Mus musculus: one gene and its partners. The protein of the gene in region 1 purifies or fractionates together with the protein of each later gene. This does not show direct contact. Links are inferred from orthologs where the notes say so. Each region holds a gene or a part of one and is shown in the gene's direction. Other genes may lie near its edges.

Region 1 (4,116 bases):
CTTTTTTTTGAAGGGCTGGCCTTAGGGTTCCTAAATTCAGACTATTCCTGCCCTTTCGCGAATGGTTGCGATTACAGCCCTTCCCCTTGAACAGTCATTCTTAAGACCATATCCTTCACACAATCTGGAATTTTTACTCCTTCTGTGAACGTAAGTGCACACTCAAGGTTTATTTATGCAGTGGTCTGTGTGAGGTTTTCAGCCTCTCTTCCTCCAGTTTAAAATGTCCCTGGATCTACCCGACCAATAGAGTATACATTTTCCCTTCATGCTCCGCCTTCCGGAGGCTTGCCCAGGCGGTGACATTTAAAGGCCTCCGCTGGGTTATCTCCGCCCCCTGAGGGCTGCAGATTCTGGTTGTCCCAGTGTCACAGTATTCAGTCAGCCCTAGTGACCAGCTAGTAATATCTGGGCTTTTGGATCAGATTAGAGCTCCAGACCTTAATTTTGGAGTCGGCTTGCTGAAAGTAGCTGCTGAGTGCTCCAGATGGCTGTGTTTAGAAGACCGTGAAAGTGTAAAAATAAGTGGGTAGGAAGGACAAGGCTTTCTGTCATTGTTTTGGTTAATTCTCCACGGCGGGTAATACTACTGCCTTTTCCTTTTCAAATCTCAAAGCCTCGGGTTTCGGCCGCTGAGCTCCCCGCCATCTCCGATCCCGGCCTTGGAACGCTGAGGTTCAGTCTCCAGTGTAAACATTCCACAAAAGGACTGCTAAGGTTCAGCATCCTCGCGCAGGGCGGAATGGTCTCCTTCCTGGACCGGCGCCGTGTCCAATGGCGGCTCCTACCGGCGCCAAGATAGTCCAATCAGATCATTGGGGGCGGGGCCTGGCCCAGCCGTGTAGTGGGTGGAGTCGGCCTCACTTAAGGACATTTTTACCCCACATTGGTTACTTACCTTCCTGGGGCTATGAGAGAAGCAAAGGTAGTCTTCCAATGCAGGGACCGGCGGAGGCGGGAGCCGATTTGTTAGGCCTGTGGCTGGGGCGGTATGGGGAGGGATATGTGAGACTCTCCAATGAGATGTGAAGAGGTACTCCTCTTCCTCCAATAGTATTAGAGCCCGGAGGAGGGATTCGGCAATCAGTCTCCAATAGGCGGGGTTGAGTTAGGGACTCTCCCCGCCAATAGGGGCGTGGAGAAGGTGAGCGGCTCGCTCTCCCCTCCCAGCGAGGGAAGAGGGCGGGAGTAGGTCTTTGCGGCATAGTGATTGGCTAAACCATTGACGGATGGGTAATATATCCCGTGGCGGAGCGAGGTTAAGCCTTCCCTCGGCGGGGCGGGCCGGGAGAGTGGGCGGGATTTCCCGGGTAACAGAGAAGCGGCCGCGGCGGTAGAGGCGGCAGAGACGGTTTCTCCATCTTCCCCCCTCCCCTTCCCCCCTTAGAGTTTCCCTCCCTCCCTCCCTCCTTCCCAGTCTGGGCACCCAGGCCTGTGACCGCTTCGTGGGCGCAAAGGAGGTTGCCAGTCCGCTCTTGCGGGCCTGTGCCCGCGCCGTTCCGGGGCCTCCGTGCTGGGTGCGAGGCTCACGCCGGGAGCGACGCACAGGCTGAGTGGCTGGAGCTTTTGCGGTGAGAGCACGCCGCACCGCGGTCCGCCCAGCAGCTGGGTGGCGGGTAACCCGGGACTGGAGGGCGTGTGTTTTTCGGGGGGGCTGACCTCGGCTTCCCGTGCGTGGCTGTGGGGGGCGGAGCGGAGCCGCACTCAGTGCGGGAGGGGGAGGAGAGCGTAGTCCCGGTGCGCACGGAGGGGCGGGTCCTAGTCCCGCCGATCAGAGGCGGGGCCGGCGCGCGTGCGGTGGTGGAGAAAGGGGCGGGACGGGCTCGCGCTAAAGGCCCGCGGCTGTGACCCCGCCCCTTCTCCCTTATGGGCGGGACCACTGGCTGAACTGCTTTGGGTCCGCGGGGCGTGCGGGACGGGAAGAGGGTCCCGGCGTGTGGCTTTCAGGGCGCGGTGGCGAGGGGGCGTGAAGCCTGTGTTCCCCCGCCTTAGCGGGATCCGGTTGGCCGGAAGGCGCGTCCGGGGCTGTGATGCCACGCCCCTCCCGCCCCGCCCCCTCCGGGATTTCCGCCTCCTTAGCAGTGAAGAGGAGCTGGGGAAAGCCCGCTGTGGCGTCTGGCAGGGGGTCAGGGCTCCGTGTCTGCTCCTCCCAGCATCCCCGTGGGTGGGAGGGCCCCTTGTAGACTGGGAACGGTGGAGGTGTCCGGACTTTATGCTGTGGCTTCTTCATCCATTCTGCTTGGGGCATCGTGGCCCGTAGCTGTAGTCTTCTACTTTGCTTCACACACCATGGATGGCGCCTTAACAGCTAGGGAGAGTAGAAGCGTGGTCAGCTGCTCCTCTTCGTTGTAATTATTGGGACGAGATACTCAGCGTCCTCTCTGGAGTGTCTGCGGTGGGGTGCGGCTGGTGCTGTGCCCTTGCTTCCCCGACAGTGGCCGGTGGGGGAGGGGCAGAGTGATCAGGGACTGGAATTGTGGAGGGCGCCAACCTTCCCTGGAGTTCCCTTGATGTTCAGCTACTGCGCCTTTACGGGTTGATACCTAAAAATTGCTACCATTTTTGGTAGCTTAGGACTTTAAACTCAGTTTACCATTTGAGCTCCTAACAAATCTGAGATTTTATTTCTAGAGAAAGTATTGAATTTATGATTGTAAGTGATGGAGTGAGTTTAGGGCACATAAGCATTGCTTCACCGCTAGGCTATACCCCAAGGCTAAATTTTTTTTTTTTAAGTCAAAGATTTAACTCTCTTTAAGTAAAATACTCTGATTTCTTGACTGATTTCACCTACAGAAGGTTTTGTTACATAAGCTTAGTTTCACAAAGGTAACTTAGAATTTTGTGTTCTCTTTTGGTTTTATGTAACTTCTAGTCCTTAAAGCTTCATGTTGCTCTTTTTAGATACTAAGTAGGTTGAACTGTATGAAACCTATGTGTAGCATAGCTTACCGGCCTGTGTTAGAGAGTTACTTTGGCCATTGTTGGTTTACTGCACATGTAACCATATTAGATGATCTTACTCGAGAACTTCATGAAAAGTGAACATCGAATTCTTAATTTATGTATTGATATCTGAGTATGTGTAAACCACTTTTAAAAAAGATTTATGTTAAAGTGTGTGTGTGTGGGGGGGGGCAGAATAGGATGTTAGATCTCCTGTAGGTGGAGATAACAGGTGGTTCTGAGCCACCTGACATGGAACCCAACTTAGGTCCTTTTACAGGAGCAGTCTGCACTGAGCCATCTCTCTAATCTCATAGTCATGTGTAATTTCTGAAGCTAAATTCTGGATTTGTTCTTTGTTCAGTAGAGGCTGAAAACTGTGCCCTGTGCTGTACTTAATGAAGAGGTTAAATATTCACTTTTCAGCTAAAGAAGTGACACCAGCCATGGTAACAGAATGGAGGTGGAGCCCAAAAGATAAGGACTTGGATGTACTACAGATGGAGTACACTTAAAACGCTAGAAGAGAATTCTTTGGCTTTGAGGAAAGTTTGACCAACCCATAGTTAATTTTACCAATTGAAGTACAGTTTGGAAAATCAGATGACTTAATTCATACCTTTTTTTTTTTTTCTTGTTTTTGAAACAAAGTTTAGCCCTGGGTGTCCTAGAGTTCACCCTGTAGTCTAGGCTGGACTCAGACTAAGAGACCTGCTTGCCTCTGCCCCCCAAACACTAGGATTAAAGGCATGTGCCACCACTGCTGAGCATAATTCTTATGTTTATAGAATGTGTATAATAGGTTGTGTACTGGAGTCACAAGTCCTAGGCTTTGAAATTTCAAGAACCTTGTTTTTGCTTGTTTTTTTTCTCCTATCCATCAGTATACGTTTGTTATTTTTGCATACTAGCATTTAGGAGGCTAAGCAGACTAAGTGGTGAAGAGTGAGTATTACTCTAAGAAAACCTGAGTTCAGTTTTCAGCAACCATGTCAACCTGTATCTCAGGCTCCAAGTACTGACACCTCCGGCCTCTAGGACACAGACACGGGTGCACACCCCCACATCCATACACACAGTGAAAAATAACAGAAATACAGCTTTGAAAAATAAACTGTTAATACTTTTAAATTCAGGCCTTAAGTCGTGTGCATAAGGAAGTTTTTTCTT
Region 2 (4,103 bases), on another chromosome or scaffold:
GATAAAGGCTCCCTGACCACTGGAGACAAGCTGACAGTCACACACTAGAACTGGGAAGCATGGAGCCTAAACCAGGTGCCAGGGCAGAGGATGCCAGACCTCTTTATCCACAGCACCAGGTTGCCCAAGACTGTGGCAACAGGGAGCCTGCTAGGCAAGGCTAGCCAAGGTCAGGAACCAGACACAACTGAGGCCCTCCCATGTCCTTTGTCCCTTACCTCTGACCACTAGAGACAAATGTCCAGGACAGAGGAGCCATGTGCTAGCAGAGATGTGGTTCTACCCATACTGTAGGTGGGCCATACTTGCAGACCAGGTTGGGGGGGGGGCGGGGTGCCTGTTAGCCACCAGTTCTGAGAAACTCACACTTTGGCTGCAGAATTGATCCAAGGGGACAAACAAAGATTACTTTGAGGTCCGACACACCTGTGCTCCATCCCTTCCCGTTGGAGTGACTTTGAGTAGGTCACTTCACTTCTTGGAGTGTCACAGAGTAAGAATGTAGTCTCATTGGAAAGTCTTCAGGGTTACAATGGAAAGGGACCCACAACAAAGCAGGGTCCTTAGTAAATGTCGACCATGTATTCCCACGGTTTTGCAAGGGCAGACCCAGCCTCTCTGACGCTATAGGAATGCTGACTTGGGGGAAGGGGCTCTGAATGATCTTCCTCCCACAGAGGCCCCTGGATTGGAGTCCCAGAAGGGCGGCCTCCGAGACTGTACAGTGAGCAAAGTCCCCCAGGGACCTGGCTCCCTTCCCTGTGGCCCGTTCCTTACCAACAACAGTAGAGAGCCCCAAGGTTAGGCAAACACAGCAGCGATAAGCCACTTCCAGGCTGGGTCATGTATTCAAGGCTTTAGCCAGCTTCCTGGCTGGCTCCTTGGCTCAGTGAGAACCCTGGTCTTATGTGCATGGAAATGGGCATCAATAGAAACAGCAGTCCCAGGCACTGGCTGGTTGAGCGCCTGAGACCTTGGTGCCCTGGTACAGCCTGGGTTAATGACCCTGTTTATGCACTTGAGTCATCCGATAAAGGGCATCCAGGCAGTGGGCAGGTGGCCCTGTGCCCTGCAATGGCCACTTCATTGACTAAAGTGATAGCAAGGCCACGTGGAGCTTCCAGTGCCCCTCCCCCACCACTTCCCCATCAGTCCTGCCAGGGTCAGCGTGTATGCATTGTGTGTGTGTATGGTTTTTTTTTTTTTTTTCCTTTCAATGAACATGACTTCTGGAGTCAAGGTTGTTTGGCCAGTCCCCTTCCCGCCCATCAAGGATATAAATAGCACTCACAGTAGAGAGAGAGAGAGAGAGGGCCAGATAGCTGGGAAGAAACAGGAACAAGATACTAACCATGAGCTCCGGCCAGTCAGGGGTCTGCCCATGCCAGGGCTCTGCAGGTCGTCCGACTATTCTGTATGCACTTCTGAGCCCCAGCCCCAGGACCAGGCCCGTTGCACCTGCATCTCACAGCCACTGCCTGTGCCAGCAGCAGCGGCCTGTGCGTCTGTGTGCTCCGCACCGCACCTGCAGGGAGGCCTTGGATGTCCTAGCCAAGACAGTAGCCTTCCTCAGGAACCTGCCGTCCTTCTGCCACCTGCCCCATGAGGATCAGCGGCGGCTGCTAGAGTGCTGCTGGGGCCCTCTCTTCCTGCTGGGGTTGGCCCAGGATGCTGTGACCTTCGAGGTGGCTGAGGCTCCGGTGCCCAGTATACTTAAGAAGATCCTGCTAGAGGAAGCCAGCAGCGGTACCCAGGGTGCCCAGCCATCAGACCGGCCACAACCCTCACTGGCTGCAGTTCAGTGGCTGCAGCGCTGCCTGGAGTCTTTCTGGAGCCTTGAGCTGGGTCCCAAGGAGTATGCGTACCTGAAGGGCACGATCCTCTTCAACCCAGGTGAGCTTCCAGACACTCCTGGATGGTGGTCAAGGTGGGAGGGGATGGGGCCCATCCAAGGAAAGTGCTTTCTTGGGGCTTGACACCCATTGTATCATTGGGTCCTTGTGAGCCTCAAATAGATGGCTCATAGGAGAGGCACAAAGAGGTTAAGCAACTATCCGAAGGCCACATAGCAAGGCAGAGGCAGAGGAGGGCTGGGAAGGCAGAAGGCAGGCCAAGCTAGTGCAGAGACTGCTCTTTGCCACCGTGCCTGAGAAATGTGGCTTGAATCTTAGGGAGAGTGGGTGGGTAGAGAGGGTGCCAGAGGGGGTGGCAGCAGACACAGCTGCATGATAGCCATATCTTCAGGGTCAGGCTACATAGTGAGGCTCTAAAGGGTTCAGAGAGGCCACTCAGAAGGAGAAAGAGGGTTTGGGAGTGGGGCACTCCTTGTGAAGTCAAGCCAGGAGAAGAGAGGTGGAGTGATGGGGAGAACTGAGAGAGAGTCTCACCATGTCGCTCTGGGTAGCCTAGAACTCACTATATAGACCAAGTTGGCCTGGGATGGGAGAATAGTCCTCATAGCTTTGAGGAAGACAAGAGACAGGCCTTGATAGTTAAAACATGTCACATAGCAGTAGCAGTCCCATAGCCCCGTTGCATTCACCATATGGTAGGACTCACTCAAAGGGCTTTTTAAAATATCAGTTTGGTTAAACCTCATAACAAGTGTGGGTAACAGGCGCTGTCATTAGCCCCACTGGACAGATGAAGAAACGGAAGCACAAAGATTAAAGTACTCATTTAACAAAGGTCACTCAGAAAGATTAAACTGCATATCCAAGGTCACTCAGCTAATAAGGGGCAGCCCCGACGTTCAAACCCAGGCAGCTTGGTGCTGGTTTTGTTTGTTGGTTGCTTGGTTGTTTTTTGTTTTGTTTTGTCTGAGTTTTTGCTTTGTTTTATTTTAGTTTGGCTTGGTTTTTGGTTTTAAGATTTATTTAGCCAAGTGATGATAACACATACCTTTAATTCCAGCATTGGTAGGCAGAGGCACTCAGATCTCTGAGTTCAAGGCCAGCCAGAGAACTAGTTCCAGGACAGACAGGGCTACACAGAGAAACTCTGTCTCAAAAAAAAGAAAGAAAAGAAAAGAAAAGAAGAAAGAAAGAAAGAAAGAAAGAAAGAAAGAAAGAAAGAAAGAAAGAAAGAAAGAAAGAAAGAAAGAAAGAAAGAAAGAAAGGGAAAGGAAAGGAAGGAAAGAAAAGAAAAGAAAAGAAAAGAAAAGAAAAGAAAAGAAAAGAAAAGAAAAGAAAAAGAAGAGGAAAAATAGGGCTGAAGAGATGACTCAGCGGTTAAGAGCATTAATTGCTCTTCCAGAGGTCCTGAGTTCAATTCCCAGCAACCACATGGTGGCTCACAATCATCTGTAATGGGACCTGATGCCCTCTTCTGGGATGTCTGAAGACAGCTACAGTGTACTTACATATAATGAATAAATAAATCTTTTTTAAAAATCATTTTAAAAAAAGAACGAGAAAAAAATTCTTTGTAAATTATTTTATGTCTATGAGTTCCTACATACATGCACACATACATACACACATACTTGTATTTTGTATGCATCATCTGTGTGGAAGATGTCACAAAGATGTCAGAAGAGGGTGTCAGATCCTCTGGAACTGAAGTTATAGGGAGTTGTAAACCACGATGTGGGTGCTGGGAGCTGAACCCAGGTTCTGAGCAAAAGAACCTCTTAGCCACTGAGCCTTCTCTCCAGCCCATGTGTCTTAGTTATGATATCCTCATTATCTGTGTCCTCTCTATAAGTGGATGGATGGATGGATGGATGGATGGATAAAATGGTAAATAATGAAGGTGGCAGTGGGTGGACGCTCCAAGGTGGTAGAGTGAGCCAATGCATGTAACTCATTAGTGAAGGATCGCCTCAGTGCTAGAGGGGAGGGAACTGCTGACACCCTCACACCCTGTGCTAGCCTCCACAGACCTAGCCACTTAGCAGCTCTCTTCACCTTCTCTGCCACAGATGTGCCAGGCCTCCGTGCCTCCTGCCACATCGCACACCTGCAACAGGAGGCTCACTGGGCACTGTGTGAAGTCTTGGAGCCCTGGTACCCAGCCAGCCAAGGCCGCCTGGCCCGAATCCTCCTCATGGCCTCTACCCTCAAGAACATTCCAGGCACCCTTCTGGTAGATCTCTTCTTCCG
Region 3 (3,500 bases), on another chromosome or scaffold:
TGTAGTAAGGGAGAGGGTTCAGGAAACATTGCCTATGTATTCTCATCTCCATCCATTCTGTCTGTGGCCTTTTGAGAAGCCTGTCTTGGTTCCTTTTCTATTGCTGTGATAGAATACCTGAGGCTTATACTTTATAAGGCAAAGAGGTCTGTTTACCACCTCACAGTTTTAGTAGCTAGAGGGTCAAAAACAGAGTACCAACATCTAATGAGAATCCCCTGACTAAGCCACAATGTAACAGAGAAGCAGAAAGGAGACAGCTTGCTGTGTGAGCTGGCTTTTCCCTGTGACAGCCTGTTCATTTGAGAACTAGTTTAGGCATACAGGTCTGAGCCATAATAACTTCTAAGAGTGAAGTCCTCATTTCCCAGTCACCTTCTGCCAGATCTGCAGTGCCAGCACTACCATATTGGGTGTCTAGCCTCTTCTCCATGAGCTCTTGAGGGCACATTACCTGCTTCCTTAAGATTCGGTGTCTTCTACAGAAGATGCTCCACTCTGCTCTGTTCTCAAACCCACATGCCAGGCCGACTCCCCTTGGCTGTCCCTGCCTTCTTCCTAGCTACTTCTCAGCTGCTCCCTGTGGCTGACCAGTGTGTACATCCATGCTTATGAAGTGAGGGAAGGATCCAAGACCCAGAGTGAAGACCAGCCCACATGTCCCACCAGCCCTGTCGGCTTCATGAGCCCGTGTTCTCCTGTTGTACGTATCAGAAAGGTGCTCTGGGGATATGCGGAGAACTCTGGACCTTTTCCTCCTCAGAAGGAAAGTTCTGTGAGGCAGTAGCCAGTATAGAAAGTACCCCTCAGCCTGGTTAGCTTTGCCTCTGGTTCCTTTATGCCAGTGTCTCTACCCAAGGAGCTGTGTGGCAGACATTGGGTTGTCACTCTGGGTATTGGTACTCAGTTTCCCCAGGTGCCATGCTTGCCCTCAGCAGGGCTGGCCTACCTGCCAGTGGGTGTAGTGTTCACCCCATACCTGGCCACAGCAGAGCAGGTCACATAGAAAAGGGCTCTGTCCAAGATCATGTCAGGCCTCTCTGGGTTCCTGTGTCATGACACAGCAGGTATGCATTCCCAGGCCCTGTGTACTCAGGAGTCCTAAGCTCTGAGGAGAAAGGATGAATTTGGGTAGGGCAGAGACAGAGACCAGGGTCCTGTGCCTGGGAGCTGTTAGCCTCGGGTGAGCCTTCGTTCCTTTCCCTGTGCCCTAAGGCTGGCATCACCTACCTCCTAGGATTGCCTGCAGTACCTGCCACAGGAACCTATTGTGTCTTCTCCTCAGCTAGAAAAATCCCTTCAGTCCTGCACATCAGTATAGGTTAGGGCACAAGGAACCTCAAAGGCCAGTAAATACCTCATGGAACAGCAGTAATTTCTGTTTTCTCTCAGTGGGCTCACCTGCCTTCCCTTATGCACTGGAGAATTCAGAGTTTAGATTTAGCCCAGGGCTCACATAGCCCTTGACTCCCTTACCACCCGTATTGTACCTCACTTTTGAGGATGTCTCAGTATCAGGCCCACACCTGCTTCTGAAGTCCCTCTGGATAGAAGATGATGAACAGGGGTGCGGTGAGGCCACAGGCACCTGCTTTGGAAGTCTGTCCAGAATGCTATGCCACTGGGGGGCAGCATTGACCAGTGTACACAAGTCGTGAGAAAAATCTCCTCTTTGTTGAGCTGGCCTTGCAGGATGAACTAACCATTCTGTGTGTCCAGATGTTGCCCTGAGGCAGCCTTCAGTTTTCAGCATTCATCAATTTCTTGTCCCCTCCCAGGAAAGTACACGCAGGCAGAAACTGTGAGGCATATTCTCAGCCAAGAAAGCAGGTGGAGCCAGGCAGGGGTAAGAACACAATAGATAAAAGCAGGGTAGCCACATCTCCTCAGTCCTTACTGCCTGTGTGGAGGCACAAGAGCACAGTAGCCAGCTCCTAGTGCAGCACAGAGCACAGTGTGTCACCATGTTCAAAGTGTCCCACAAAGGGCTAGTGTTGAGGGGATAGTAGAGCAGTGGCTTGAGGCCCCTCGAGAAGGAGCTCAGGCAGTTCCCTCACTTTAGATACTTCCTGCTATTTTTAAGCCCAGACCTTGGTTTTAGAAAACAAAGTAATAATTTATTGAAAATTATTGTGTGACAGTAAAGGGGGTCATGTTAAAAAGCAGAATTCTCTTTTTAAATGTTTTTCAAAGCTATGATTAAAATATAAGCCATCTACAATATTTTGAAATGTGATGTTATGTGCTGTTTTGTTTTCCACTTTTCAGAAAGTCAGTAATGATGTGCCTATCCCCATATTCAGGTTGCATCCCTCTGGGGCAGTGGCCTTGTCATGGTAGATAGAGCTGACACAGAAACATGTTCTCCCCTTGTGTCCCACAGTGCATCCGTGGACGCAAGGCCACATTGGAGGAGCTGCAGACAGTGCACTCGGAGGCCCACACACTCCTCTACGGCACAAATCCTCTCAACAGACAGAAACTGGACAGTAAGAAACTTCTAGGTACTCGAGACCTCCTTACATCCCTACCAGGTTTGATCTGCAAGTGATGTTTCCAGCCCTTGGCTCCTGCTGGCCAGGACAGGAAGGTTGGCTCCCACTAAGGCCACGGCGCAGAGAAGCCTAGAGCACAGTCAGCTCTGGAAGCTGTTCAGGAATGCTTACGGCCAGGGGTACCCAGCCCTTGCCCTATTTGCAGTTCCTTTCTAAGACTGCTGAGGGGAAGGCTCAGAGCAGGCCTGGAGAGTCCCTGGCCTGGCCACACTGAAGCCATTGGTTAGACTCGGGAGCTGAGTCTTGCCCCTGTCAGTCAGCACTCCTATGGGCAGGTTCTTGCTAGCAGAGACTCATCCTGCATCAGCAGAAGGGGCTTTATCAAATAAAAGTAGGCTTTGACAAACTGTGGGGCCCTATGTAATCCCAGAGTGCACTCTACATCACCAACCTGGCTTACCCCACAGACTCCAACTGCTCAGAGACAGTGATTTTTGCAGTGATCCAGAACTACAGGCAGTAGAAACAGAGACAGAGCTAGAGTTTCTTCTGGTCTCTTCCTTGAGACTCTGACTTCAGGTCGTGGTCCCACAATGGGGGTTCTTGGGCTGCACTAAGCCTGTCTCCCTCTCACCCTCTCTAGTGGGCCCTTTGAGTGCTTGCCTTCACCCTCAATCAGGAGACAGGGGACCCCTCTGCGGGTACTCAGCCAGTCCAAAGAGTACTGCCAGTGAGGGCTCCCAGCAGACATGTTCTCCAAGCTCTTGATGCTGTGCTCACACAGAGCCCTTCTGTGGTGTAGCCTGGTCTAGTGATAGTACCAAGGAGCAGATGGGAGTGGGATGGGTTTATGCTAGAATTTCAGGGCGCCTCTTGCCAGATTACACGGACCTAGGAGTTAGACCCTGGCAGGCAGCAATGAGGAAGTCTTAAGAGTGAATAGTAGGGCATGGCATGGGGCACTCCACAGAGAACTGGGGTGTGCTCTGCCTCCCTCCTGTCCCT
Region 4 (3,500 bases), on another chromosome or scaffold:
CCTTCCTGCTTCGTCTCACACTGCATTGGGCCACAACCAGCACTGTCAATTTTTAATTTAATTTTAGCCATTTCTTTGGTATTGAGGCAACTAGATTGACTGTAGACATGCGCAACTCCTAAATTCCAGACAGCCCACAAAACTGCACACAGAACACAGAGAAGAAAGACTTTGTGGCTTATGTGGCTTAAGGACCTTTAAATGTATACCTTCAGTGAATGAATTTTGTTGAATTAGAAGTCAATATTTTTATTTTCAAACTAGTATTTTTCATTTGACTAAATGCTTTATTTTTTTCCTTCTGACATTTAAAAGGTACTCCGATCAACAAACCACCTGTTTTGGGCTATAAAGATCTCAATCTCTTCAAACTCTTTAGACTGGTCTATCATCAGGGGGGATGTGGCAATGTAAGTATACCGTTGCTTTAGAAGTATGTGTTTGTGCGTTGAGAAGTCTGGTTGCTTGATGCTGCACTGACGTAGGCATTTTCTTAAAGAACACAGAATGCTAGTGTAACAGTTATTTCCTTTGACAGTTGTTAACAAAATCTTAATCTTCCAGATTGACAGTGGTGCTGTATGGAAGCAAATTTATATGGACCTTGGCATTCCAATTTTGAATTCAGCTGCTTCCTACAATGTAAAAACTGCTTATAGAAAGTAAGTTGTCCAGCTTCATTAAAGAATAATTATTAGCAAGTAAAGTAGTTTGGGCAAAAGGATATATTGTATGGCAGACCTTACATAATACAGCTTCCTTGACAACAGTTTTTTTTGTTTGTTTGGTTGGTTGGTTTTGGTTTTGTTCTTTTTGTCTTTTTGTGGAGAGGTGGCAAGGGCAGAGGGCGGGTATGAGGGAATGGGGAGATGAGTGGGACTGGGGTGTATGAAGTGCAGTTTACAAAGAATCAATAAAAAGTTAAGCCAGGCAGTAATGAATGGCACAGGCCTTTAATTGCAGCTCTCAGGGAAGCAGAGGCAGGAGGATCTCTGAGTTTAAGATCCACGATGAGTTACAGGACAGCCAGGCCTACATCGAGAAACACTGTTGGCAGGCGGATTTCTGAGTTCGAGGCCAGCCTGGTCTACAGAGTGAGTCTCAGGACAGCCAGGGCTACACAGAGAAACCTGTCTTGAAAAGCTGAGAGAGAGAGAGAGAGAGAGAGAGAGAGAGAGAGAGAGAGAGAGAGAGAGAGAGAGAGAGAGAGACTGAGACTGTCTTGAACAGTACCCCTCCTGCCCCCAAATGATCATTTACAGGGAACAGCCTGTAATTTTAATTAACACTGCAAACAAGGGCCATAAATGTTAAAAGTTTAAGCTGGCAGTCACGTGGGGCTGAAAGGTTTCCTGAGTCATAGCCTACCATTCTCCACTTCCCATGTCATGCTGATTTCCTCTTAAAAGTCAGCGATGCAGGAGTGCACATCGTGTCCAGATCCAGCTCACCGGCTGCAGTTTTGGTTATGTGCATGTTCTAGAGCAGTGGCTCTCAACCTTCCTAACTCTCTGAGCCTTGAATACAGCTCCTCATGCCCTGGTGACCTCCAACCATGAGATTATTTTCCTTGGTACTTCATAACTGTAATTTTGCTGCTTTTATGAATCATAATGTAAATGTCTGGTATGCGTGATCTCTGATATGTGACCCCTGTGAAAGGGTGGTTTGGCACCCCCAGAGGGGTTGCGACCTACAAGTTGAGAACTGCCCTTCTAGAGCTTGAATACAGTTCCTCATGCCGTGGTGACCTCCAACCATGAGATTATTTTCCTTGGTACTTCATAACTGTAATTTTGCTGCTTTTATGAATCATAATGTAAATGTCTGGTATGCGTGATCTCTGATATGTGACCCCTGTGAAAGGGTGGTTTGGCACCCCCAGAGGGGTTGCGACCTACAAGTTGAGAACTGCCCTTCTAGAGCAGTGCTGTGGGAGGCTTATTAGTCTCTGGTTCTCAGGATAATATTTTAGTTGATGGTATTTTTTTGTTGATTGTATCAAAGGCATTTACTAACATACCAAGAATACTTTAAACATGGCTCAGGTTTTACTACACATTTACCTAATATTCACATTAAATGCAGAGACTAAGATTTCTTAAGATGAAATGTTGTGTGTTTAGATATCTCTATGGTTTTGAGGAGTACTGCCGTTCTGCAAATATTCAGTTCAGAACTATTCACCACCATGAACCAAAAGTAAAAGAGGAAAAAAAAGACTTTGAAGACTCAATGGACGAAGCTCTAAAAGAGGCCCCGGAAATGCCTTTGCTGGACGTGAAGAGTGAGCCCGAGGAGAATACGGACTCAAACAGTGAAAGCGACAGAGAAGACACAGAGCTAAAGTCGCCAAGAGTGAGTTCTTGTAGCTTTATCTGCTTCAAGCATTAGTTTGAACTTTTTGTGGGCATTTTAATGTATGTGCATACTATTTGTTTATGTTCCAGTATTTAGTAATATTGCTTCAAGGTTATTAGAGCAGTCTCTTTCTACAGACAGTGCTTATCAGTCCTACCTGCCAGCCTGTGCCACAGCCTGAAACCCTGTCCTAAACAACCAAACCAAACAGACAAAAACAGTAAACACACGCACGCACACACACACACACACAGACCTGCACACTCATCTTCTCTGTTACTGTCCGTTCAAGGCTCTGTTGTCTGGCTCAGTCCCGTGTACTCTTCTTGCTCAGATGTCTCCCCAGTGAAGCCTGCACTGGTTGCTGCCTTTCTAATTACTTCCTATCTCCTTTCTCGCTCCTCTTATCTGGGATGTACTTGCTCAGTCTGAATTGATTTGCTCTCTTTTCCTCCCTCTGTACTAAAGTTGCATCCCATGAAGGCAAGGCTGAGTGTTGGTTTTGCTCACTGATGAGATCCGAGGCTTCTAGAATAAAGACGCACAGCACCCAGAAAGCGCTCATTAGGTAGCTGAATGAATCACCTCTAGGTGATTCCTGTGCTCCCAAACTACCACGCTTCCTATCAATCTGTGTGCGTGCTGTACGGCTTTATCTCCGCATACATTGATTTGTATTTTCCCATCTACCTCGCCTCCGCCCCCTGTATTCCTCCTCATTGATTAAGGTTTTATGAAGGATTGCCATTCACTATCTGATCCATGCCCAATGAGCTCTACATAGCATGACTTATCATTTTATGGGTTGCCACACTGTCAAGAATTTCCGTTCTTTTTTTTTTTTTTTTTTTTAAGACATGGTCTGTCTATTATGTATCTCTAATTGTCCTAGACCATGCTGGCCTCAAAGTCACAGACATTTTCTTGCTTCTGCTCTCGAGTGTGGGGATTAAAGGCATGCACTACCGTGCCTGGCTTTCAGCTCCTATGTATCTTATGTGTTGGTGAGGCCATGTTTAATGGAAAGGAAAGGTGAATTCTTTATTTTTATCTTATGTGTGCCAGTGTACACCCGCCTGGATGTGCGTGCGTGCATCAGATGCATACCTGGAGCCCACAGAGGCCAGCGAAGAGCACCA
Region 5 (3,500 bases), on another chromosome or scaffold:
GGTGACATTCTTCTACTGCCTCCGCTTCTTGAGTTCTGGGATTGCAAGTGCCCACCATCATGCTCATTGAAGGCCTCCAAGGTTTGAGAGGAGATAGAATAGATTCAGTAGAATTAGCAGGCAAGAAGGACGGATTTGTTTACTATATTAATTCTGCTTATGCTGCTTCTTCTCTAAACTTTCATTGGTGTTAGAGATAAATATATGAGTATTATTTCTGCTAGTATAACATTAAAAATATAAAGTTTATAATTTTGACTTTGAAACATATTTTTTTATTCTAGAGGTTAACATTATTGTAGCATATTTGGTGTCATGTTTGTAATTTCATCCCTTGAGAGGCAGAAGCAGAAGAGTTGGCTACTCTAGGTCAACCTAGACCACAGAGCAAGACCCTTAAAAAAAAAAAGATTTCTATTGGTAATTTTTTTAAAAAGATTCATTTATTTCATGTATGTGAGTACGCTGTCGCTGTCTTCAGGCACAACAGAAGAGTGCATCAGATCCCATTACAGAGTTGTGAGCCACCATGTGGTTGCTGGGAATTGAACTCAGGACCTCTGAAAAAGCAGTTAGTGCTCTTCACCACTGTGCTATCTCTCCAGCCCTATTGCTAACTTTAAAATTAGTTTGAGTTCATTTGGGCAACATTGAGAGTTCATCCAGTATCATTCTGGCAAATAGGTAGCAGATTTGTGTTTTTTATGTTTTTAAGTAATTTTAAATTATGTCTATGTGTGATCGGGTGTTTGACTGGAGATGAGTGTGTACACACAAGAGCGCAGGTGCCCATAGAGGTCGGAAGTTGGATTTCCTGGAGATGGAGTTAAAGGTGGTTATTCTCACTTGTAATCTCAGCACTCAGGAGGCTGAGGCAGGACCTCCGTGAGTCGGAGACTAACCTGGACTGCATAGTGAGTTTTAGACTAGATTGGATAATATAGTGAGATCTGTCTCAAAATCCCGGAAACAAGAAGCAAGTAAAAATTAAACAGGTTAAATACGGTACTGTGTCTTTTCAGGTAAGATGGTGAACAACCAAATTATTAGAAGTGATTTTCTCGTTTCTTTTAATCTAATATTTAAATAACTTTTTCTTTTAGAATTGATTTATTATTGTTCAATTAAATAAAAGTTGGGAGTGCCAAAGTAGTCATTTCAAGTTCTTTTTTTTTTTTCACTTTTATTTTCTTGAGATTGTTCTCGTTGTGTCCACTCCATCTTCTTGCCTCCCTCCCCTCTGCCCAAGTAGCTTTAGACAACAGACGAAGGCCACTGGGCCTGAATTTTCATTGCATTTTTTTTTTGTTGTGACTAAAGAGTGATGCCGATTAAAAAAACTAACAAACCCTGGACTGGTATCTGTTTAATATTATGATGTACATAAGTGAGTTTTCTGACTGCAGTCAGGGCAAGAATCCATCTGCTAGTTTATTGGAACATGAGCTCTGTTAGGAAGCAGTGATGCACAGGAGTTGCTTGACTTTGTTGTAAAGTTTTAATTGACGTCTTTATTTTTGCTTTGTTGAGACTTTATAAAGAGCGGTTGAGTCAGGTGGATGCAAAACTCCAAGAAGTCATAGCTGGAAAAGCACCAGAGTATTTGGAACCACTGGCCACCTTACAAGAAAACATGCAGATTCGCACAAAGGTAGCAGGTGAGCATGGATGACATTTTGTGTCCTTTGTGACACTTTTGATTTTGTGGCATTGTATGGGTGAATATGTTATACATGGCATAGGCTCAGGTAGCTGCCACCTGCCATGACATAACAGACAACGGCTTACATCCCTAGGCTGCCTGTGGCTTGGCGTTGAGTCTACACATCTAGAGGTAACTGCTCTCCAAGTCTGTGAGGCACATGTGTATGGGCACGCTCCCTATGCTGCCTTGTCCCCTGTAAGATGCACTTGGGCATCTGCCTCTCGGGAGCACACTCAATGTGATCCACCTCGTTCTGTGCGTTTACATAGTTAGTGCTCCTTGCAAAGCCTTGGACTCTGAAGAGGATAGTTGGGATACAGTGATTTTGACTGAATAAAGTATCCATTTCTTGCTTCTATTATGTGTGAATGATGAAACCAAGAGTTATTTCTGTCTGTCTCCCTTTCTGTTAGAAATCTGAGAAAAGGATTGTGCTGTTTGTTTTGCTCATTCTCAAGTGAACATTTAGGAGGTCTCTTGGGAATATGAGGTAGATCAAAAAGTAGCCATGGTTTCTTAGCTCATGAACTCTTAATTTCTTCTTCTTTGATACATGTTTTGGTTTTCTTTCTTTTTTTTTTAGGATAGAGTAAGAATCATTTGTGACTTTCTTATTGAGTCATCTTATAAACTGTGGTGTCGGCAGACTGTAGGGAAGTTGTGATGACTGACTGTTGCCAGGATAACCGCAGAATGATTGTGCTTGGTTTCAGGAATCTATAGAGAACTCTGCTTAGAGTCTGTGAAGAACAAGTACGAATGTGAAATCCAGGCTTCTCGACAGCATTGTGAGGTACTGTCATTCTGTTTAACGTTCAAGCTAATTGTAGCTCTTCAAGTCTTTTCTGAATAGAGTGGCTTAAAAAGTAAATAAAATAAGCAATGCAAAATTCAGTAATACTTTAGCTCATATCTTGGATGAATTTAAAAAGTGCAGTTCTACTGGTTGCTGTACTGGAAACAGGACTCAAAGGAACACAAGAAAGTGTGATAGTTTCAGAAGGTTTGCAACTGTTACTTTTTAAAAATCTATTTACATTTATAGTGCTAGGAACTGATTCTAGAGTCCTGTGTATGATTGGCAGCAGGCAAGTGCTGCACCTCTGAGCTGCAGCCATTGTCTGTGCTGTTTCCTTAGAGAGCTAGAGAGTGACCATGCCACCAGACAACTGAGGTTATAGTGTAATCACACCACATAGAACTTTAGGCTAAAATGGTGCAGCTAGAACATTGGGCTATAGAGTTAAGTTCTGACTGTCTGGACTGGCTTCTACATGTTAAGGCAGTATTTTCTATGTGAGGGAAATATAAGTGTGGCTTCTTTACGTTGTGTTCATTGTGTTTAAGAGCATCATGCTAATTGTGCGAATAACTTTTTGTAAGATTTAGATAGCTTAAAAGGCTGAGACAGGGCCAAGTAAGGGGACAAGTTCTAGAATGACCCCTAATTTTGATTTAAAAGTACTTTATTATTTTATGTGTATGTGTGTTTTGCCTGAATGTATGTGTGTGTGTCTGTGTACCTATGTGTGCCTGGTACCCTCAGAAGCTGGAAGAGGGCATTGGATCCTCTTGAACTGATGTTCCAGACAGTTGTGAGCTACCATGTGGGTGCTGGGGATCTAACCTGGGTCTTTTGCAAGAACAGCATGTGCTTTTAACCACCGAACCAGCCTCAAACCCTCTTTATTTTAATAGTCCATATTTGAATAGGTATAAAAGCAATGGAGATCTTTCTTTCTCTCCTTTCTTTCTTTCTTTCTTTCTTTCTTTCTTTCTTTCTTTCTTTCTTTCT
Region 6 (4,236 bases), on another chromosome or scaffold:
CGTGGTGCCCTGGAGGGACCCCTGGGAACCATTTTATGTGGCTGGAGGAAAGGTGCCCACATTTGACGAACGCTTTCGGCAGTATGGTTTCAATCGAATCAGCCAGGTACTTAAAAGGGAGAGGGCATGTAGGACTAAGACTGGAGGCGTGTCAGGGGTGAAGTGGCCATTGGTGGAAAGGAGGCAGTGAAGCAAGAAGAAAGTGGTTGGATGATGGAGAATTGAGGACAGTGGAGTGGAACTTTAGGGATGATCATGTGGGCCCTGGGGATATCATTAAGTTATTGTGATTAAATCACTGTGACCTCTCCCTGTCTCTCTCCCTCTCTTCCCTCTCCCCTCCTCTATCTCTCCCTCCCCCCCCCCCGCCCCTTTTCCAGGCTTGTGAGCTGCACGTGGCAGGGTTTAATTTTGAGGTGCTGAACGAAGGTTTTCTGGTTCATAAGGGATTCAAGGAGGCATTGAAGTTCCATCCCCAAAAGGAGGCTGAAAACCAGCGCAATAAGATCCTTTACCGCCAGTTCAAACAGGAGTTGAAGGCTAGGTACCCCAACTCTCCCCACCGATGCTGAGTCCTTGTCTTCCATGGTCTGAGAATTGTCAGTATCTGGCTCCAGGCCTGACTGGGGTAAGAAACATGCCTCCACTTTACAGAGGTAGCTATGGGTTTGGAACACTGGACTTGACTATGGGGTGCTGGGAGTCAAGTCTCAGCTTTACCACTAACTAGCTGTGTGGCCTTGAGCAAATACTATTACTTCTCTGAGCCTCCGTTACGCCGTCTGTAAAAAGGGAGGTGAAAATACCTACCTCACAGAACTGTTGGCTCAGATGAGACGCTGTATGTGTAAACATCCTGTAAACTTCGTACAAATGTGAAGTATTATTAATATTGCTACAGTGTTATTATGATATTGTTACTATTAACCATGTTGGGTGGATAGCGGCAGAGCAAAAAGTTTGAATGGGCTAGAGGTGGGAAGCTTGAGTGTTTAATAAAATGAGGCTTTTGGAAAGAAAGATGAAAACGTAGAATGTAGTGCTAAGAACGTTTCCCGTTCTCTCATGCCTTCGCCCTCCGCCCTCCGAGATCCCTGAAGGAGGAAAGAGATAAAGGTTAAAGTCCCAGATCTGTGCCCTCCAGTAGGTTGGGCTGCTCATTTGCCTTCGGATGACATTATGTAAATAAACGAATGTCACACCCACAGCTGGCTCTGTTACTCTCCTAAGCCGAGGGGTGGTGGGCCGGAGCACCGTGTTAGACGGCGGTGGACCCAAGGACACCGACCACAATGCTAGGACAGGCTGAAGGCCTGGGTTACTGGGGGCCAGTTGCTATGGAGACCCGTCCGCCGTATCCCGGCATGCCTGGACACCAGTGGTTCCATTGTAAGCGCCACAAATGGGCGCCTCCTGATGACGCACACGGAAGCGTCGACACCTCCTGGAGAAAGAGAATCCTGCGCAGCACTGTTCCGGAGATCAACGGCGGCGGCGTTCACACCCTGGGTCGGACAGCTCTCCGGGAGTCCTGGACGTGAGGCCGGAGGCCCCAGTGTCTGCGGTGCGTATGGCCACGCCCGGCGCTGGGTTGGGCTTTCCGGATCGGAGCTAAAGCAGAGACTTAACCGGCCCGACTCGCGCGCTGGCCTGAGAGGAGCCCGCGGTTCCGAGGGTGGATCGAGGTGGGATAGTTCCTTGCGCCGCAGAGTTTGTCCTCTGTGTCTGTAGGGAGGGGTCTGCTTTCCCTGGAGGTTTGCTGTGGAGGTGCTTATACACCGCGCGTTTACCGTGTGCCTCTTCCACTCCCTACAACCCTCAGCAATGGTATATCCCCTATTTGTACCCGGGTTAAGGAGGGACGATTGGTTGTGACTTCATTTAACGAAGTCAGGATCAGAGTCAGCTGGAGGAAGGAGATCCTTGAATTCATCCTGCGTCTTAGAAAGAGTATATACAACGGTGAAAAGGAATTGCCAGTGTGGAGGGTCTGAGGCGTGAAAAGGGGAACAGTGAGGCTGTTTTGGAGATCTGGATTTTCAGAGCAGGAGGAAATGCTACTAAACTCTCCTGCAGGTCCGGCGCTATAATTACTTGCATGGGTGTGAAGGAGCGTTACTCCAAGTAGGGTTGCCAAGAAGGAAAAGCCAGTTTCTATACTGCAAAAGTTTATGTTGTTTAATTTGGGTTTAGAAATTCCCAGTCATCAAGTGAGCTGGCACTGCACTGGGCGAGTAGGACAGCCTGCTGCCCTGTCCTGATGAAACACCCACATTTCACTGGGTGGTCGGACATGAGACTGGGAGAATATGAGATAAAAAACAAAGAAACCTTTAATCCCAGCACTAGGGAGGCAGAGGCAGGCAGATTTCTGAGTTCGAGGCCAGCCTGGTCTACAGAGTGAGTTCCAGGACAGCCAGGGCTACACAGAGAAACCCTGTCTCGAAAAAAACAAAACAAAAAAAAACTTCCTGGGGGAAGGAGTTATGCCTTCCCCATGGGAAAGACTTACAGAGCAGCAACCAGAGATGTAGAAATCACACCAGTGTGAACTAGAAGCATCTACATCCAAGATGACCTATTCTCTCTGGGGGCCTGGCAGTATCAATCTCTCGTTGTCTCCTTCCTTCTGAAAATACCTTCCACCCTAACTCTTGGATTTTCAATCTGTTCTGCAGAGGTTTCTCCTCCTGCCTCCTTTGTTGACCTTGGGAATTCCAACAGAGGCCCCTTCTCACAGTTCCGCCTGAAAAGTCAGACTGCACAAAGCCTAAATAACTTGCCGTATGTAGCTAGAGGAGCCTGGGTCTAGTGGAAGTTCACATGCCTGTGTCCCTGGTCCCTTTTCTCACTTCTAGGTCTTTGTACTTGTTTTTCACTCTGCCTGGAATGTTCCATCTCAGGCGGCCTGGTCCTCACCTAGTCTGTCTCCCTCTGGAAGCTGTCACTGTAGCAGCAAGCTCCAGCTCCTGTGTAGACACCTCCCATAACACCTTAATTTGACTCTCTTCACACCATTATAAAGGTCTGCTTCTTTGCGTTTCTCCCAGAAATTTGTCATTTCCTCGAGGCCAAAGGCTGTCATAGCTATACTGTAGCATCTGCCACAGTCCACGGTGACTGTTGGTGCCTGGCACACTTTAGGTGCTTAGTAAATACTGGATAAGTAGGAAGAAAGGTAGGGGAGGGGCTTAGTGTTCACTGTTTCTGAAAGGTTACCTAAGGCAAGCACTGGCAAATGTTGGTGTTTGCTACAAGGAAATTGATTCGTAATTCTGCCGCAGTGGTTTTAGTGTGAGTGCTGGGTATCCAAACACTGAAAGAGGAGGAGGTGAAAGTCAGAATAGCAAGTGTGCGCAAGGCCCAGAGAACTACAGAAAATTAACTAAACGGGGCTGTTTCATATTTCTGCATTCATTCTTTTACCTACTCATTTGGATTTGACACAGCCTCACCAGCTATTGCTAGCCTGAAACTAACTGTATATCAGGCTGGGCTTGAATTTGTAGTAATCCCCCTGCCTCCTGAATGCTAAGATAACAGGCCTGTACCACCTCACTTGGCTTTATTTTTTTATTTGTGTTTGTTTTTTCCAGAGAGATCTAGTCTAGGTGCCTCTTCAGACAGCAATCTACCACTGACCTGTACCCCCAGACATACTGCTTTTGTGTCTTTTTAAGACAGAGCTTCGCTGTCTAACCCAGAATGGCCTCCTGCGTCAGCGTGTGGATTATGTATATGAACCTCATCAGGCTCTCTCTGCTTTTTAGTTTTTTTTTTCTCTCCAGTACTGGGAATTGAGACCTAGAATTGAATTCTAGAAACACCTCGAACTCAGAAATCCGCCTGCCTCTGCCTGTGCTGGGATTAAAGGCGTGCGCCACCACGCCCGGCCTTCTTTTCCTTTTTTTAAAAGATTTGTTTATTTTATGTAAATGAGAACACTGTAGCTGTCTTCAGACACACCAGAAGAGGGCATTGGATCCCATTACAGATGGTTGTGAGCTACCATGTGATTGCTGGGAATTGAACTCAGGGCCTCCGGAAGAGCAGTCAGTGTCCTCTTACCTGCTGAGCCGCCTCTCCAGCCCCTCCTGTTTTTCCTCAGGAAAACCCTGAGCTTCCGCATCTGAACTTCCACAGAGGAAGGTGCTTCCTGTTCACGTCCTTAGGAGTGCTAGGGGCTTAGGATATTGCTCAGTGGTAGTTGGGGCTCAGCATTTATGGGAATCTGAG
Region 7 (3,500 bases), on another chromosome or scaffold:
GTGTGAGCAGTACAGATCCAGGCTTTATTCCCGGGTCTGCTTTGTACTGTGTGTCTCTGAGTAAAATGTTTAGCTCGTTTGTACATTTCGTCCTCTATACTATAAAACACCAGTAGTTTTGCAGAAGAGCTATGCCGACAGGTGAGCCTTATGCTACCCGTCTCATTTTGTATGTCACTCTGCAGACTGGACTTGTGTGCTGTTAAAGTAAGATGCACGGCTAGAGCAAAGCTATTGACATGTGTCCTGTGGTTTTCTATTTGCAGCCGCCCCCGAAGCCTACCATGCCTAGCCGTCCCATTGCGCCTGCTCCCCCTTCTACCATGTCACTTCCCCCGAAAGTTCCCGGGCAGGTTACTGTTACCATGGAGAGCAGCATCCCTCAAGCTTCAGCCATTCCCGTGGCAACAATCAGTGGACAACAGGTTATTCTCTCCTCCTGACTTGTTCGTTTTCTAAGTGCATTAGGCCGTGTCCTGAATAATTGAGTGGTTGCAGATACCCATAGGGAGATAATAGTGCTGAAATCAAAAGGAGTAACACCCAGGCTGCTTAGTGGTTAGGCTGTATCTGCTGAGCACATCCTATGCCAGCTACCATACGACCTTCAGTGTAAAATCACAGAGAGCCATGAGCAGTCTTTGTCCTAGAAGGGTTACAGTCGACATGTGCTTGACTAGAGGGAGACGGTTCTGAGGAGGCGAGACTACCTCAACCTCAGAAAACCTGGAAGCATCCTAGGTTTTCTTGGAGGATAGTAGATGTGTAGCAGGTTCTCTCTGCCCTCTAATTGTGAGCATTTACAGTAAAGGCTCCAGTTTTAACTTGAAATTTTAATTGTATTCCATTATGTATAGTTGATTTATTAAATACTTTGAATTATAACACTTGTGAAGAAACTAAATCTCAAAATTCTTTTCCTTTGTGTTTTCAAGAAAAATTAATATTAAAAAAACATGCCCCGTCTTGTTCTCTAATCATGCCAAGTAATTGCCAGAAGTCTGGCAATGTCATCTGCGATGTACTTATATCAGAGTGCTGGAAAGCTTAGGGGATGAGCTGAAGCCATTAGAGGCGTTAACTGACATGTATTCAGAAATCTTAAGTAGCATAAAGAATAATGGATATAAAGATCTATTTTTTAAAAAAATAGAGTGGTGGGGTAAATAAGCCTGTGACCAGGAAAGGGAGAACAAGTGTAAAAGATTGGTGCAGATTCGAGTTACTAAAAAGAAATAGTCGGAGGTCTCATGTGGCACTGGGGTCTGGTAACTTGTTGGGGCTATTGGAGTATGCTCACTTCGGACCTGCTCATTTACAGGGGCCATTATTAAAACACAGCAGATGAAAAGGCTCATGGAGCCCCTTTCCCTGGGATACTCCCAATGGAGATTGGGCATGTGTAGAGTAGTATAGCTGTAGACAATACTCAGAGTCCGAAAGGAATGACCTGACTCAAGACTGCACATCAGTGTACAGCCCTTGAATTATACATGATTTGCCCTGGAAATCCCCCCAAACAGCAAAAAGGAAGGGGGAATTCTTGTTGTTGTTGTTGTTGTTGTTGTTGTTGTTGTTTTCAAGAACAGCCTGACCCAGTTTGAAGCAAACTGACTTTCTGTAGGCAATAGCTAAGGCCATCCTCATGAAGATTGTCTTCTCTGCTGTTTCTTCCAGGGGCATCCCAGTAACCTGCATCACATTATGACCACAAATGTGCAGATGTCCATAATCCGCAGCAACGCTCCCGGGCCCCCACTTCACATTGGAGCTTCCCACTTACCTCGAGGTAAAAACTGCACATTGTGCTCCAAATACAGTAGCAGACAGACTCTGACTGGAGGACAGGATGACCGACTTTGCACAGTCAACCTAAAGTTACAGGGCAGTGGAGATGAACCCACAGCAGTACCAACTTTCAACATGATGTGTTATGTGCCTCCTACAGTTACATTAGAACACGTCTGTGCACATCTAAGGAAGAGAGTTTGTTGTTGTCATTTTTAGGCCGTCTTCCTAAGTCACCCTGGCTGGTCTCATACTTGTGCTCCTCCTGTAGTTTCCTCCTAAATGCCGATTGCAGGTACACAACACCACCCCTGGCTGCTTGTGTTGTGTTGTGTTTGTGACATGGTTTTGCAGTGCAGCCCTGCTGTGCCTGGAACTCCAGCAGTCATTCATTGACTCTTAGGAGTCTGTGGAATCACACACAGGCTACCTTAATAGAACTGCTAAGACACTATTTGCCTTTGTACAGTGTAGATATCGGCACTAAGGCCACACAGGCAGCATGAGAAGCTGACACATTGCTAGTGACTAATGTGTTTCTGGTTTAGACACAGTCTAGGCAGTGGTACCATACTGTGCTGCTCTTGTAGCAGCACACCATATCAATGGCATACCTCCTAAGATGCATATAAACAAATTTAAAGACAAAACACATAGTCCTTGAATACACATTTTCTTACTTTTCTTCATAATAAAATAAGAAGTGTAGGCAGTGTACTGGAGCGGGAGACCCACATGCTGCCCAGGCTTGGCAGTTCTGCCTTTCCTAGAGAGCATACTTAGCTTTATTAAGTAATGCTTCTATAAGCCATGCTGATCAGTTTTGTCTTTTCAGGTGCAGCTGCTGCCGCTGTGATGTCCAGCTCTAAAGTAACTACAGTCCTGAGGCCAACTTCACAGCTGCCAAATGCTGCTACGGCGCAGCCAGCAGTACAGCACCTCATTCACCAGCCAATCCAGGCATGTTGGGGTCAGGGATGCTCAGCCAGTCTGGCTTCTGTGCGCTACCATAGCCGTGCGCTCTGCCGTACACTGAGGGGCTCCATAAGCTCAGTTACTTCTCTTTGCAAAGCTTGGAGGATGCCCTTTGAGTGGTGCAAGTGTAGAACAGGGCATTAAAAGTTTGATGGAAAAGTGACAAGACAACTGGTGTAGAGAATGAACAGGAGCAAGGACGACAGTGGTGGCTACAGTGCTGAGAAAGGCTAGCTAAGATAGAGGAGGATTGTAATTTAGAGAGAGCTTTGTGAGCACCAAAAAGGCTTATGTACATTTTATGCATGGAAATAAATGTCTCCCTTTTCAGGTAACTTTCAACTACTAAATACATCTGGTAGTCCCCCTCTTATCCCCCCACCACACACACTCACCCCTTCTTCCATAGTGACAATCAAACCCAAGGCCTATTCATGCCAGGCAAGCACTCTAGTAGCTGAGCTACACTTGAACCTTGTTTATTTTTATTCAAGGAATTCTGTAATCTCAGTCCTAATAGAATTGTGCTGTGTCAGAAGGAGATGCAGGTTCAGAAGAGATGGCTCAGGAGTTAAAGAGCAATAGTTGTTCTTTCAGAGGATCCAGGTCCATTCTCAGTACCCACATGATGGCTAACAACCATCTGTAACTTGAGTTCCAGGGGTTCCAGTGCCCTCTCCTGACCGCCACATGTCCTGTGTGCCTGTACTACACAGTTATTCATGCAGGCATGATGC

What was found.
Region 2: the proteins of Sin3a (region 1) and Nr0b2 purify together in Homo sapiens (affinity purification with western blotting; 3 studies listed by BioGRID). This does not show direct contact. The link is inferred for Mus musculus from reciprocal best matches to the Homo sapiens genes SIN3A and NR0B2.
Region 3: the proteins of Sin3a (region 1) and Hdac4 purify together in Homo sapiens (affinity purification with western blotting; 3 studies listed by BioGRID and IntAct, with this or other methods). This does not show direct contact. The link is inferred for Mus musculus from reciprocal best matches to the Homo sapiens genes SIN3A and HDAC4.
Region 4: the proteins of Sin3a (region 1) and Arid4a purify together in Homo sapiens (affinity purification with western blotting; 6 studies listed by BioGRID and IntAct, with this or other methods). This does not show direct contact. The link is inferred for Mus musculus from reciprocal best matches to the Homo sapiens genes SIN3A and ARID4A.
Region 5: the proteins of Sin3a (region 1) and Brms1l purify together in Homo sapiens (affinity purification with mass spectrometry; 3 studies listed by BioGRID, with this or other methods). This does not show direct contact. The link is inferred for Mus musculus from reciprocal best matches to the Homo sapiens genes SIN3A and BRMS1L.
Region 6: the proteins of Sin3a (region 1) and Brms1 purify together in Homo sapiens (affinity purification with western blotting; 4 studies listed by BioGRID and IntAct, with this or other methods). This does not show direct contact. The link is inferred for Mus musculus from reciprocal best matches to the Homo sapiens genes SIN3A and BRMS1.
Region 7: the proteins of Sin3a (region 1) and Sap130 purify together in Homo sapiens (affinity purification with mass spectrometry; 4 studies listed by BioGRID, with this or other methods). This does not show direct contact. The link is inferred for Mus musculus from reciprocal best matches to the Homo sapiens genes SIN3A and SAP130.

Annotation. Positions count from the first base shown.
Region 1 is NC_000075.6:57,075,060-57,079,175, forward strand, and holds the start of Sin3a (paired amphipathic helix protein Sin3a), read left to right. Parts: upstream 1-1,316; 5' UTR 1,317-1,571; intron 1,572-4,116. UniProt on the Homo sapiens protein: Acts as a transcriptional repressor. Corepressor for REST. Interacts with MXI1 to repress MYC responsive genes and antagonize MYC oncogenic activities. Also interacts with MXD1-MAX heterodimers to repress transcription by tethering SIN3A to DNA.
Region 2 is NC_000070.6:133,552,073-133,556,175, forward strand, and holds the start of Nr0b2 (nuclear receptor subfamily 0 group B member 2), read left to right. Parts: upstream 1-1,303; 5' UTR 1,304-1,352; coding exon 1,353-1,893; intron 1,894-3,922; coding exon 3,923-4,103. UniProt on the Homo sapiens protein: Transcriptional regulator that acts as a negative regulator of receptor-dependent signaling pathways. Specifically inhibits transactivation of the nuclear receptor with which it interacts.
Region 3 is NC_000067.6:91,967,342-91,970,841, reverse strand, and holds part of Hdac4 (histone deacetylase 4), read left to right. Parts: intron 1-2,383; coding exon 2,384-2,489; coding exon of another isoform or gene 2,490-2,504; intron 2,505-3,500. UniProt on the Homo sapiens protein: Responsible for the deacetylation of lysine residues on the N-terminal part of the core histones (H2A, H2B, H3 and H4).
Region 4 is NC_000078.6:71,060,967-71,064,466, forward strand, and holds part of Arid4a (AT-rich interactive domain-containing protein 4A), read left to right. Parts: intron 1-315; coding exon 316-410; intron 411-564; coding exon 565-662; intron 663-2,126; coding exon 2,127-2,358; intron 2,359-3,500.
Region 5 is NC_000078.6:55,842,866-55,846,365, forward strand, and holds part of Brms1l (breast cancer metastasis-suppressor 1-like protein), read left to right. Parts: intron 1-1,530; coding exon 1,531-1,658; intron 1,659-2,418; coding exon 2,419-2,498; intron 2,499-3,500. UniProt on the Homo sapiens protein: Involved in the histone deacetylase (HDAC1)-dependent transcriptional repression activity. When overexpressed in lung cancer cell line that lacks p53/TP53 expression, inhibits cell growth.
Region 6 is NC_000085.6:5,039,927-5,044,162, forward strand, and holds the start of Brms1 (breast cancer metastasis-suppressor 1 homolog), read left to right. Parts: upstream 1-1,436; 5' UTR 1,437-1,564; exon of another isoform or gene 1,565-1,685; intron 1,686-4,236. Other genes in the region: B4gat1 (beta-1,4-glucuronyltransferase 1), read left to right, coding at 1-106, 381-572. UniProt on the Homo sapiens protein: Transcriptional repressor. Down-regulates transcription activation by NF-kappa-B by promoting the deacetylation of RELA at 'Lys-310'. Promotes HDAC1 binding to promoter regions.
Region 7 is NC_000084.6:31,647,868-31,651,367, forward strand, and holds part of Sap130 (histone deacetylase complex subunit SAP130), read left to right. Parts: intron 1-266; coding exon 267-425; intron 426-1,677; coding exon 1,678-1,789; intron 1,790-2,623; coding exon 2,624-2,748; intron 2,749-3,500. UniProt on the Homo sapiens protein: Acts as a transcriptional repressor. May function in the assembly and/or enzymatic activity of the mSin3A corepressor complex or in mediating interactions between the complex and other regulatory complexes.